3 linked regions of the Drosophila melanogaster genome follow. The protein of the gene in region 3 interacts with the protein of the main gene of each other region in a pairwise test. Each region holds a gene or a part of one and is shown on either strand. Other genes may lie near its edges.

Evidence for each region.
Region 1: the proteins of CG13138 (region 3) and SdhBL interact in a two-hybrid assay, tested with the Drosophila melanogaster proteins (one large-scale study listed by BioGRID).
Region 2: the proteins of CG13138 (region 3) and Pih1D1 interact in a two-hybrid assay, tested with the Drosophila melanogaster proteins (one large-scale study listed by BioGRID).

Annotation. Positions count from the first base shown.
Region 1 is NC_004354.4:18,892,341-18,896,094, forward strand, and holds the start of SdhBL (succinate dehydrogenase, subunit B (iron-sulfur)-like), read left to right. Parts: upstream 1-2,105; 5' UTR 2,106-2,321; coding exon 2,322-2,553; intron 2,554-2,684; coding exon 2,685-3,558; intron 3,559-3,614; coding exon 3,615-3,754. Other genes in the region: Flacc (Fl(2)d-associated complex component), read right to left, coding at 1-345, 419-1,112.
Region 2 is NT_033779.5:12,720,185-12,723,938, forward strand, and holds the start of Pih1D1 (PIH1 domain containing 1), read right to left. Parts: upstream 1,660-3,754; 5' UTR 1,538-1,659; coding exon 1,469-1,537; intron 1,379-1,468; coding exon 1,267-1,378; intron 1-1,266. Other genes in the region: MRP (Multidrug-Resistance like protein 1), read left to right, coding at 2,247-2,300, 2,375-3,754.
Region 3 is NT_033779.5:10,300,367-10,304,120, forward strand, and holds the start of CG13138 (uncharacterized protein), read right to left. Parts: upstream 1,653-3,754; 5' UTR 1,590-1,652; coding exon 1,578-1,589; intron 1,494-1,577; coding exon 1-1,493. Other genes in the region: nmd (no mitochondrial derivative), read right to left, coding at 2,305-3,232, 3,289-3,470.

The sequences.
Region 1 (3,754 bases), on a different chromosome or scaffold from region 3:
CTTCCTCTTCCTCCTGACGACGCAACTTTTCGCGAGCCAAGCGTTCCCGCTCCCGTTGACGTTCTTGGCAGCGAGCCAAGGCCTCAGCGCGCTCCTTATCCCTGGCTGCCTCCCGTTCCGCACGCTCGCGCTCCCGATCCCGACGATCTCGCTCCCGCAATGAGAGATCGTGGCGTTCGCGCTCTCTTTCTCGTTCTCGCTCGCGCTCCCTTTCCCGCTCCCGTTCCAGGGACGGAGTACGTCCACGTGCGCGGGTCTGGATGATGATCTTCTCTCGCGACATCAGTTGGTGATGCATTCGCGAGGATGAGCTGCTGCTGCCGCCTCCAAGACCAGAACCTAAACCTTAAAGTCAAGCAAAATTAATGGGTTAGTGGGTTGAGCCTAGACATAACTATATGTAGTATCTGATAGTTACCTGGACTCTTTTGCCGCTTACCCACGATGTCCTGATGGATGCGAATCTTGGTGGTGGTGGTAGTGCTGCTGCTCGGCGGACTCCTACTGCTGCCCAATCGATGATGGTCTCGCTCTCTGTCTCGTTGGACGACGCGCAGCTTGTCCCGCTCCCGTTGCTCCTTGCTGGCAGCCCGTAGCCTCTTTCGCTCGGCCAGCTTCTTTAGCTTGGCTCGCGTCGTCGGCGACAGGGAACGATGGACGTGACCACTGAGGGCGGCGGCCGCCCGTTTCTTAAGGCGCGCTTCCTTCAGTTTCCGTTTGATATGATTTCGCTTGGCCACCAGCTTCTTTTGCACATGATCCCGTTTGTCTCGCTTGCGGCGCGACGACGATGGTTCATCTCCGGACGAGCTGCCGCCGCGCCGTGAGCTCTTCTTTTTGCGATGATGACGCTCCGCGGAGCGCGGATGATGCCCATGGCCGTGGGTATGGGGATGACCGTGGACGCTGCCACTGCCGCCGGGACCACCGGCGCCACCAGGTACGCCCACCCCCACGCCGACGCCGCCCACGCCCTGCTCGCTGTCCGTGCTGCTGTACGAGCTGCTCCCGCTGTCGGAGTCCGAGGTGGAGTCCGAGCTGCTCGAGTGCGTCGCACTGTGACGGGCGGCCTTCTTGTAGCGGCGCAGCGACTCCTTGGCCTTCTTCTCCATCGCCGCGATCTCCGCTAGCCTGCGCGCCTCCGTTTTGGCTGCTTTCTTTTCGTACTCCGGTCGAAAATCAGCACGGCTATGCGGCTTATAACTAGTTGCAGCGTGTCTTGTGGTATAATGTCCTTGTTCGGAGGCGCGGACTTGCCTTGTTGTCTATTTTGTTGGCGTTTTCTTTAACTCTTCTTCTTCTCTATTTTCCTCTATATCTTCGTGTTTGTTGTTATCGATAGTCGATTGGCAGGGCATCGCGACCATCGATTACAGTCAGCACGGCGGTACATATCGATCGGTATAAGTTTGAAAATATTGTTTATTATTGTATCACATTATTATAATAAAATATAATTAAATAATTAAGTGCCTTTAACTATAAATAAATATTAATTTAACATTAAAAATATTATTAAAATTAATAATATTAATTAATACTTGTATTTATATTAATATATTGTATTTTTGTAACAATTTCTGCTTAAAATGAGTTCGGTTTTGGATTGAATTACAATTTCTATATCAATTTACCGGTTCAGCAACGGGGATTCAAATCTGACTTGTTATCCATTTTTATACCCGTTACTCGAAGAGTAAAAGGGTACCCTAAATTTGTTGAAAAGTATGTAGCAGTCAGAAGAAGGCGTTTCCGACCATGTACAGTATATATATTCTTGATCAGGAGTCGATCTAGTCATGTCCGTCTGTCCGCCATGTCCGTACCTAGAAGGTTGAGATCCAGCATACAGATTCTAGAGACAAAGACGTAGCGCAAGTTTGTTGATCTTTTTTCGCATTTTTATTAATCTTGTAAATTTCTATCGATTTGCCCAGAAAATGATAAAATTTCGCGTTCTCACATCCACTAGCTGAGTAACGGGTATCTTATAGTCGAGGAACTCTCTTTAGTTGATTTAAATTCCACGCATCCAAAACATTGTATAAAGCAGCCTGTTCTACTACTCAGTTAAACTGAACTTTTCATTTCGAAAAGATTTTCAAATCCAGCTGGCTATGCCTCTAGTGTCAAGTCGTATTACGGGCACTTCACCGGCTTCTCCTCAGTTTTGCTACACAGTTCGACACTTCAACACCTCAACACCTCAACACCTCATCGCCTCGGCACACATTCTCTCTCAACAAAAAAAAAAAAAAAACACATATATTTTTATAAGTACACATTTTAACTTAAAGTCTCATTCATTCGCTCGAAAACCGATGAATTTGTTGCGCCGGCAGCCTCGGCTGCTGAATAAACGGAGCACGTGGCTGTTTAGAAATTACGTGTTGGCCAACAGGGATGTGTCCGAACCCGTTTCCCGTCCTGCGGCGCCTATGTCCACCCTATCGATACCCGGACCAGCGCTGGCTGCCGCCACCCCAGTATCCGCCGTATCCCTGGTACCCCGGTGCACCCACTCCAGCCTCCAAGGAGGTGGACAAGGAGCAGGTTAGTTCTAAGTGAAAAGTTTTCTGATTCCACAATTTTCTGGGTTGTCAATGACTTTGTCATAATGACATTTCATAAATGACACCTGCACTTATTGATATGCTTAACTGAAATTTCTATATTCATTAAAGGAGGAAGAGGGCTCAGAGGATCAGCCACCGGAGGATCAGCCGCCGGAGGAATCGCCACAAAACGACAGTACTCCGGAGGAGCAGCCCCCGCCGGAGCCGCCAAGCCGGGAGGAGCAGCCCCCGCCGGAGCCGCCAAGCCCGGAGGAGCAGCCCCCGCCGGAGCCGCCAAGCCTGGAGGAGCAGCTGCCGCCGCCGCCGGATCCGCCAAGCCCGGAGGAGCGTCCACCGGAAAGCCAGCTTCGGGCAACGCACCAGCAACGCCTCCACCTCCACCACCTCCTCCGCCTGCTAAATCTGCACCCCCAGTGAAAGCGAAGAAGCCGCGATTGAAGACCTTCGAGATCTACCGCTGGAAGCCCGGGGATCAGCCGCAGACGCAGACCTACGAGGTGGACCTGGAGCAGTGCGGCGCCATGGTGCTGGATGCCCTGATCAAGATCAAGAACGAGATGGACCCCACGCTGACCTTTAGGCGCTCCTGTCGCGAGGGCATCTGCGGCTCCTGCGCGATGAACATCAATGGAACAAACACCTTGGCCTGCGTGTCGTCCATCGACCAGAATGAGAGCAAGTGCTGCCGCATCTATCCACTGCCGCACCTGTATGTGGTGCGGGATTTGGTGCCGGACATGAGCCAGTTCTACGATCAGTACCGCTCCATCCAGCCGTGGCTGCAGCGCAAGGATCTGAAGCGGGAAGCTGGAACGGCACAGTATCTGCAGTCCGTGGACGATCGTCTGGTGCTGGACGGGCTGTACGAGTGCATCCTGTGCGCCTGCTGCCAGACCTCCTGTCCATCATACTGGTGGAACAGCAATAAGTATCTGGGTCCCGCCGTCCTCATGCAGGCCTATCGCTGGGTCATTGATTCCAGGTGAGTGAGGCCATGTTGCTGCCAGTTTCCCCAGTGTGCTAAGATTTGCTTTGCAGGGACGAGGCCACCGAGCAGCGACTGGACTTTCTCAAGGACCCCTGGAAGCTATACCGCTGCCACTCGATCATGAACTGCACCAACACGTGCCCCAAGCACCTCAATCCGGCTAGAGCCATCATTCAGCTGAAGCAGCTGC
Region 2 (3,754 bases), 2.4 Mb from region 3:
TGGCGTTTTTTGCTGAGAAAATTGTCAGGTTTTCTCCTTGATTTTATGGTGCAGCCAAGAGATCTCCATGCCATTTTGCTTAGCATCTCATCGTGAGTCGACGTTTTTGTTTTTAAAGAGAAATTTCACTTGGGTGTAAAGGCAAAACACACACATTTCGTACAATTGAAATATTAGGTTTTGTAAGGGGGTTTTTTCTGCCGATTGTTTTGTGCTTATATAATCGCTGCGGGAACAGGTTTCGCCGTTAATTATATCGAACTGAAAATACTCGTTTCAGATGTGTTAGAATTTTATCTAAAGTCAAATGGCTTAAAACACATGCGTGTACGGGGCAAACAAGTTTTTGGCGCCCATAAAATGTGACTAGCCCAATACCTTTTATGAGCTCCGTTCAAGATTCGCTTAAAGTTTCTCATTCCTTCTTTTTAGTTGTGTGTATCTCTGTGTAAATTAGTTCTTCTTCGAGGCGGGGAAACACGTTTTAGTCGCTCATTTGTCATTGGCATTGTACAATCTCGCTGGACTATAAACTATCGTTTCAAGTGGGCGCGATTAGACCTTCCTCCAAGTGGCCCTGGACATGTAAACACTTAACTGCCGTAGCGCACAATAACGACGGCTAGATTACAAAACTTCGTACTAACTACCCGCTCAACCCTCTTTTTGTTTCAATACGATAGATAGTTTGTCAAATAATAGTGTGCATAGGAATTAAACTGATTTGTTTGGATAATTGATTTTTTGCCTTTGTTTTGACGAATTATCCAATAGTTAAGTGCAAAATACTAATTAATAACCATTAAAAGATTGGAAATTTGAATATACAAAAAGTGTGCACAAACTATAGTTAACTTACGGAATTAATTAAAAAATTTAGAGCAATTGATTCAATTTTAAATACAAGTAATTCGGATATGTTTTCAATATTCGTAATTGGTTTTTAAAGTCTTGTCGAAGATTCGTTAGGATGGGTTTTTCTGTCCTATGACGTGTTCCATTCGCGTGCGTTTGTTCGCCTTATCGCGGGTTCACTGTACCACCCCGAGCGATTACGCGCAATCGACGTCGACGTGAGATGTTTATCAGGTTGACATGGTTCCGCGCTCGCAGAGATTACTGTGCACACACAAGTGCTAAGTAGACCATAAACCCAGAGTCATGCCTACTACTAGCTGGCTGTAATCTCCGGTTAGATTCTCCGCGCCACCGGCAGCGATTGCTGTGCCATGTGAAGCTCCGGCTGTTGCAATGGACGCCACTTACCTGCGGTCGGCTGGACAATCAGCGAGTCTCGCGGCGGCGGTTTCTGCTGCGGGCCGCTGCCCTCCGGATCGGCGCCTCCAAAGTACTGGTTAATATTGTCCTCAAACTCGTTCTGCATTTAGAAAATGAAAAAAAAAAAAAACAAGTTCATCTTTAGTGGCGCAGATAGTTCCTCACATCGAATTTCTCAAGTTTTGCTTACCCGCACAAAGCGCAGGTTCTGGTCGCGAAAATTGTCGTTGCCCTCAATGAAATTGGAACGACGCGACATTTTGCTGCACGATTTCAATTGCCAGTTACGAGTTAATCCAATGCAAATGCTATTTTTGCGCTGAGCGACGAGCGAAAAACGCAAATTTTATTTGCCAGAATGGAGCTGTCAACTCGATTGAAATGAAAACTAATGTGACAGTGTGAACGCCGGTGGAAAAACATTTAATGCCATGCGATAGGCTAAAAATACTAGATAGGCGTTTTCCCTGTACAGGGTGCTCATTAATAAAAAGTAAATGACAAGAATTTTCGAGAATAATTGCTATGAATTTCTATATGAAACTTTAAAAGCTTAATCCAAATTTAAGAAATTCATTTGTATTTTTGCTGTTGCAAATGCAATTGATTTCTACTTGCTTCTACTAAGTTTTCCAAGCAAATGTATTTTAATAATTTATGTACAAAAATTACAAGTTTCACTTAAATCAATATAAACAATTAAAATAACACGCAGTGCAGAATTATACACTCATTTTCCATCCGACACCCACTGTGCCCGCGAAATACCAGAAAAATACTAGCAATCAACTTCCCACTGTCACGATTAGCGGTTGTTGTAGTTGTGCGGCTTGGGAAGGAACAGCTGTTGGCCCGAAAATATAGATCCGTTTATTTCCTTGCCGCTTTACAGTTACCACATCGCCCGATATAGCATACGCATATAGCCCAATTGCACGTGGAGGAGGTTGCCGAGCAGTCGAGTAACCATGGCGGATGACACTAGTTCGCCGATGGACAGATTCTGCGGATCCACGTTCTGGGTGAGTGCATCAGCAGTGGTGTTCAATCCGAATGCATAGTGTAAATGTATGGTTTCCGTGTGTCCAACGAACAGAACGCAACAGAGACATGGTATACCAACGATCCGGACTTTACGCCCTGCTTTGAGCAAACGGCGCTGGTCTGGACACCCTGCGCCTTCTACTGGGCGTTCGTGATCTTTGACTTTTACTACCTGAAGGCGAGTTTGGACAGGAATATACCGTGGAACAAGCTGAACGTGAGCAAAGCTCTGGTGAATCTGGGTCTGCTGGTAATCACTGCCCTGGACCTAATTATGGCGCTGGTCAAGAAGGGCGGCGACTCTGAGCTGCCGCTCTACGACCTGGATGTTTGGGGTCCCATCATCAAGTTCGCCACCTTCCTGTTGCTCTTCATATTCATCCCGCTGAATCGAAAGTATGGCGTGCAGACCACGGGATGTCAGTTCATCTTCTGGTTCCTGCTCACTGTGCTGTCGATTCCCCGCTGCCGCACTGAAGTTCGACTGGACGCGGAGCGCCAGAAGATTCTGAATTCGCAACAGCCATCCGAGCAGGACTTTTCCTGGGAGGAGTATCAGTTCGTTAGCTTCTTTATCTTCTTCACCTTCACCAGCATTATGCTGATCCTGAACTGCTTCGCGGACGGAATGCCCAGACAAACCAAGTACCAGAGGGGTGAGAACGAGATTCCCGAACTGTCAGCCAGTTTCCTTTCCCGCATCACCTATCAGTGGTTCGACAAAATGGCCCTCAAGGGCTATCGCAACCCGCTGGAGGAGAAGGATCTGTGGGACCTGAGGCCGCAGGACAGCTGCTCCGAGGTCATGCCCATCTTCGCCCACCACTGGAACCAGAACGTGCGCAAGAACTACAAGAACAAGGCGCGCGTAGAACCCAAGGCGCAGTTTAGCAATGGCAACGTGACCTTTGAGAATCCCCACGGTGAGAAGAATGGCCGCAAGAAGGGCATGGCCAGTATTATGCCGCCAATTTACAAGTCCTTCGGAGGCGTCTTTCTGTTCGGCGCCCTAATGAAGCTGTTCACCGACACCCTGACATTTGCCCAGCCCCAAGTCCTGAGTTTGATCATCAGCTTCGTCGAGGCCCAAGATGCCGAGCCCGAATGGAAGGGTATCTTATACGCTGTCCTGCTTTTCGTTTTGGCCGCTGCACAGACCTTTATTCTGGGGCAATATTTCCACCGAATGTTCATTGTGGGCCTGCGAATCAGGACAGCTTTGATCAATGCCATCTACCGCAAGGCCCTGCGCATTTCGAACTCCACCAAAAAGGAGTCCACCGTGGGCGAGATCGTCAACCTGATGGCCGTGGATGCCCAGCGATTCATGGAACTGACAACCTACTTAAACATGATCTGGTCGGCGCCACTGCAGATCGGTCTAGCCCTGTATTTCCTTTGGCAGCAACTGGGACCGTCTGTGCTGGCCGGT
Region 3 (3,754 bases):
CTTAGGTCTACGTTGGAGCTATTGACAAAGTCTGGAGCAGAGTTGGCGGTCTCCAAATCCTTTCCCGTGATATTGAAAGGAGTAGGGGGACCGACGAGTTTCAGGGAAACCCCATCCCGTCCAGGAGAAGTCGATTCAATGCTAGTTTTGGGTACGTATTCCTGGTTATACTGCGAATCAAAACTACTTTTTGTTACGTAATCGTGCTTAAATTGAGGATCAATACTACTTTTCGTCACGTAATCGTGCTTAAATTGAGGATCAATACTACTTTTCGTCACGTAATCGTGCTTAAATTGAGGATCAATACTACTTTTCGTCACGTACTCGTTTTTAAACTGCTGATCGAGATTAGTTTTCGTTGCGTAATCGTGCTTTAACTGTGTGGGCACGGAGCTTTGATAGTCCTCCATCCTCGGAGGATGATCCAATTCCCTAGATTTGTATATCCTGTTGTAGTAGTTTGAGGATGGTAGGCTGGATGGTTCGTGTTCTCTGGGCGGTGGATGATCCATTTCCATGTTAAATTTGAACTCCTCGCCGCGTGGATAACTTTCGTAGAGTGATGATGACTCGAACTTATATGGCTCGCTGGAACGAATGTAAACGGGAACCTTTCGTTCTACCTCAACCTTATAGGGCACTGGTACCTTCTTCTCGAGATGAACTGGCACCTTTATTTCGACCGGATACGGAACAGTCCGGAGCACTGGATACGGTTTCGGTACGTGGACTATTTTCTCAATTATCTTTTCGACCACATATGGTTTGGGCACTTGGACTGGCTTTGGGATGTGAATCACCTTTTCCACTATCTTTTCGATAGGCACGTGCACTATTTTCTCAACTGTAACATTCACCAGCTTGGGCACATGTACGATCTTCTCGACAATTTTCTCAATGGGCACATGGACGACCTTTTCCACGGGATACGGTTGTGGTACTGTTTTGATCAGCTCCTTTATGTGGTTGTGATGATGGTGGTGATGATGATGCTTGATTTTCACCTTCATCCGCTTCGCATCCTTCTTACTCGAGTGCTCGACATGTTCGTGCAGAATCGCTTGTGTTCCGACCTGTTCGGATGCCTGGTATTGACCATCGTCCTCATCGATATGCTCGTGGATCTCTTCGAATGTATGATAATGCCTACTTTCCGTACTCTCATCCGCATAATTGGGACTCACATTTTTTCTTCGAGCACCAGATGGCTTATATTTCAGTTTATTCCTCGTCATTTTATCGCCTTGCTTTTGATAGTTTTTCACACCGCGTTTCAAAGTCACATTGCGTTCGGTTTCCCGATTATAATGTTGCAGATCCAGCTTTTCCGATCTTCTTCCGGTATTGTGAGTAGATCCTTTTCCGTATTCAGGATAGCTCCACTCGGCACTTTCGACACTATTGGTTTTATTCACAGCATAGGAATTACTGTGTGCAGTACTTCCAATAATTATTAAGGTTATGAATAGGTATCCAGGAATCAAAGTTAACTGAAATAGAAAGGATGCGCGTAAATGAAGTATGTACATACAAAATATCTCCTATCAAAAAGACAAATTGGAAATATAGCTTACCATTGGGTTCATTTTTTGTTAAGTATATAGTCTCGCTTGGATTTGAAGTGGTTTAATCAACGCCTTCAACAGAAATGATTTGAGCCAATCGAAGAAAGTATTTATATGAGCACGAAACATAATTAAAATGTGCAGAAGCAAATTTCTTCGCTTGAAGTTTGTACACTCTATATTTTTCTTAAATTAAGAAATTATACAAAAACATCAAGAACTAATTTGTTTTGGTTTGATTATTTAAAATGTATGCATGTTTTTATTCATTTTTAATTAGATATACAAATGTGTAGCTTTGAAATGCCGTCAGAAATAAACGACCTTTTTAAAAGAGAATAAAACTGCACAAGTTTACTTATATTTTTTTTTACGATTGAAAGCCCACGGTCGCGTGACGCAAGTTGTGTGTGTGTTTGAAGAAGTGTACAAGTGCAATATCTTTATAAATGTTTGAAATTTCTCTAGGTGAATATTTCACAGAAGCCCGTAAATGTAATAATTAAAGTGCATTGAGCTCCGCTTTACGGAAATGCTATGGATTGTGTAATTTCCTGCAGTATCCGTTGCTGTTTTCAAGACTACCAAAACTACGTTTTCCGGATACCCATTTTGGAATGCAGAGAACAGGGTTAATTAACACATAACATTGGAGCTCCTCTCGAAAGGCAAATAAAAAGTTTATTATACAAATTTAAGTTGGATATATCGGGAGCTTGAATAAACAATGGTCAGCTTAATCTAATTCGATTCTATTCTCTAAGAATAGGCTGCTCGTGTGCATCTTTGATTCCTTAATTTTTAAGTGCGAGCCCAGCAAATCGTCCATGGTGATGCGGACGTTGTTGCGATCAAGCGCTGTAGCTGACGGATCTCTGGACGTGATGAGCTGCCTCATTCGGTAAACTGAAGCATTCCGGCACATTTCCCGCAGGTCTGAGCCCGAGAAGCCATTTGTGAGCTTGGACAAGCGATTCAAGTCGACATCCTGACTTACTTCCTCCGATTGGAGGATCAGCTTCAGGATGTCTTTTCGTTGGGTCTCCGAGGGCAGACCAATGTGGAATTGGGCTGGCATGCGGCGCACAATGGCCTTGTCTAAATCCTGCGGCCTGTTCGTGGCACCCATCACAATCACCGTCGAGTTGGCGTTCGTGCTGAGGCCATCCCACAGCATCATAAACTGGGTCTTCATCATGGCGGTAGCCTCGTGGTCGTTCATGTTTCGAGATCGCAAAAATGAGTCTATTTCGTCAATAAAAATAATGCATGGCTCGATTCGCGATGCAAGCGAGAAGACAGCAGAAGTCAATTTCTGGGATTCCCCGTACCACTTGTCGGTAAGAATGGCGACGTCCAAGTTGATAAAGCGCATTCCCGCCTCTTTTGCCGTCGCCTTCGCTATCAGCGTCTTTCCACAGCCCGGTGGTCCATGGAGCAGGACGCCTTTGGGCGCCTGCCACAGCTTCGAATGCTTGAAGAGATCCTTGTGCTGGATTGGCAGCACCACCGATTCCCGGAGCTCCTGAATGACTGAATCCAGACCGGCGATATCGGCCCAACTGACTGTTATGTCGGCGGGAACAACAAGATGTGACGCAATCATAAGCTCGTAGTCGCTAAACTCTTGCCCTCTTAGCTTGAAGCCCTCCTGCTCGGCTAGCCTGCATGGAAAAGGTTTACACATGTACAATATATGCTATATGAGTCTAATATAAACCTCTTAAGCTGCTCCTCAGCCAGAACTTTGGCCTTTTTCTTGTTTTTACTGGTCGGATCCATCTGGTTCATCATCCATTTCACCGAATAATATGTGATCAGCGAGGCCACAGACAGGCGAACCAGTACCTGGAATATCTGCCCCTTGCTTAGATCCGATCCGCCCAGTCCGAAGTTGTCCATGTTTCTGCAGATATTCTATTTAGAGCAAATACGTTGGCCTGCACGAATCTAATCTTTCTTGTTCTTATTCCCCATGCACACCGACGACAGTGTGACCAGGTGCTCCGACTGAAATTGACATCGATAAGCTCAAAATTGCTGCCAACTGAATTCAATTTTTGTTAGCCTATTCCTTTTCCACTGTTCCGAAAATATTTTTTCAGCTTAAAATAAAAAGATTTTTTTTTTTTTTAATTTTGAGTATTAACATATTGGGCATATATTAAGTGAGAGCATTGTGAAGC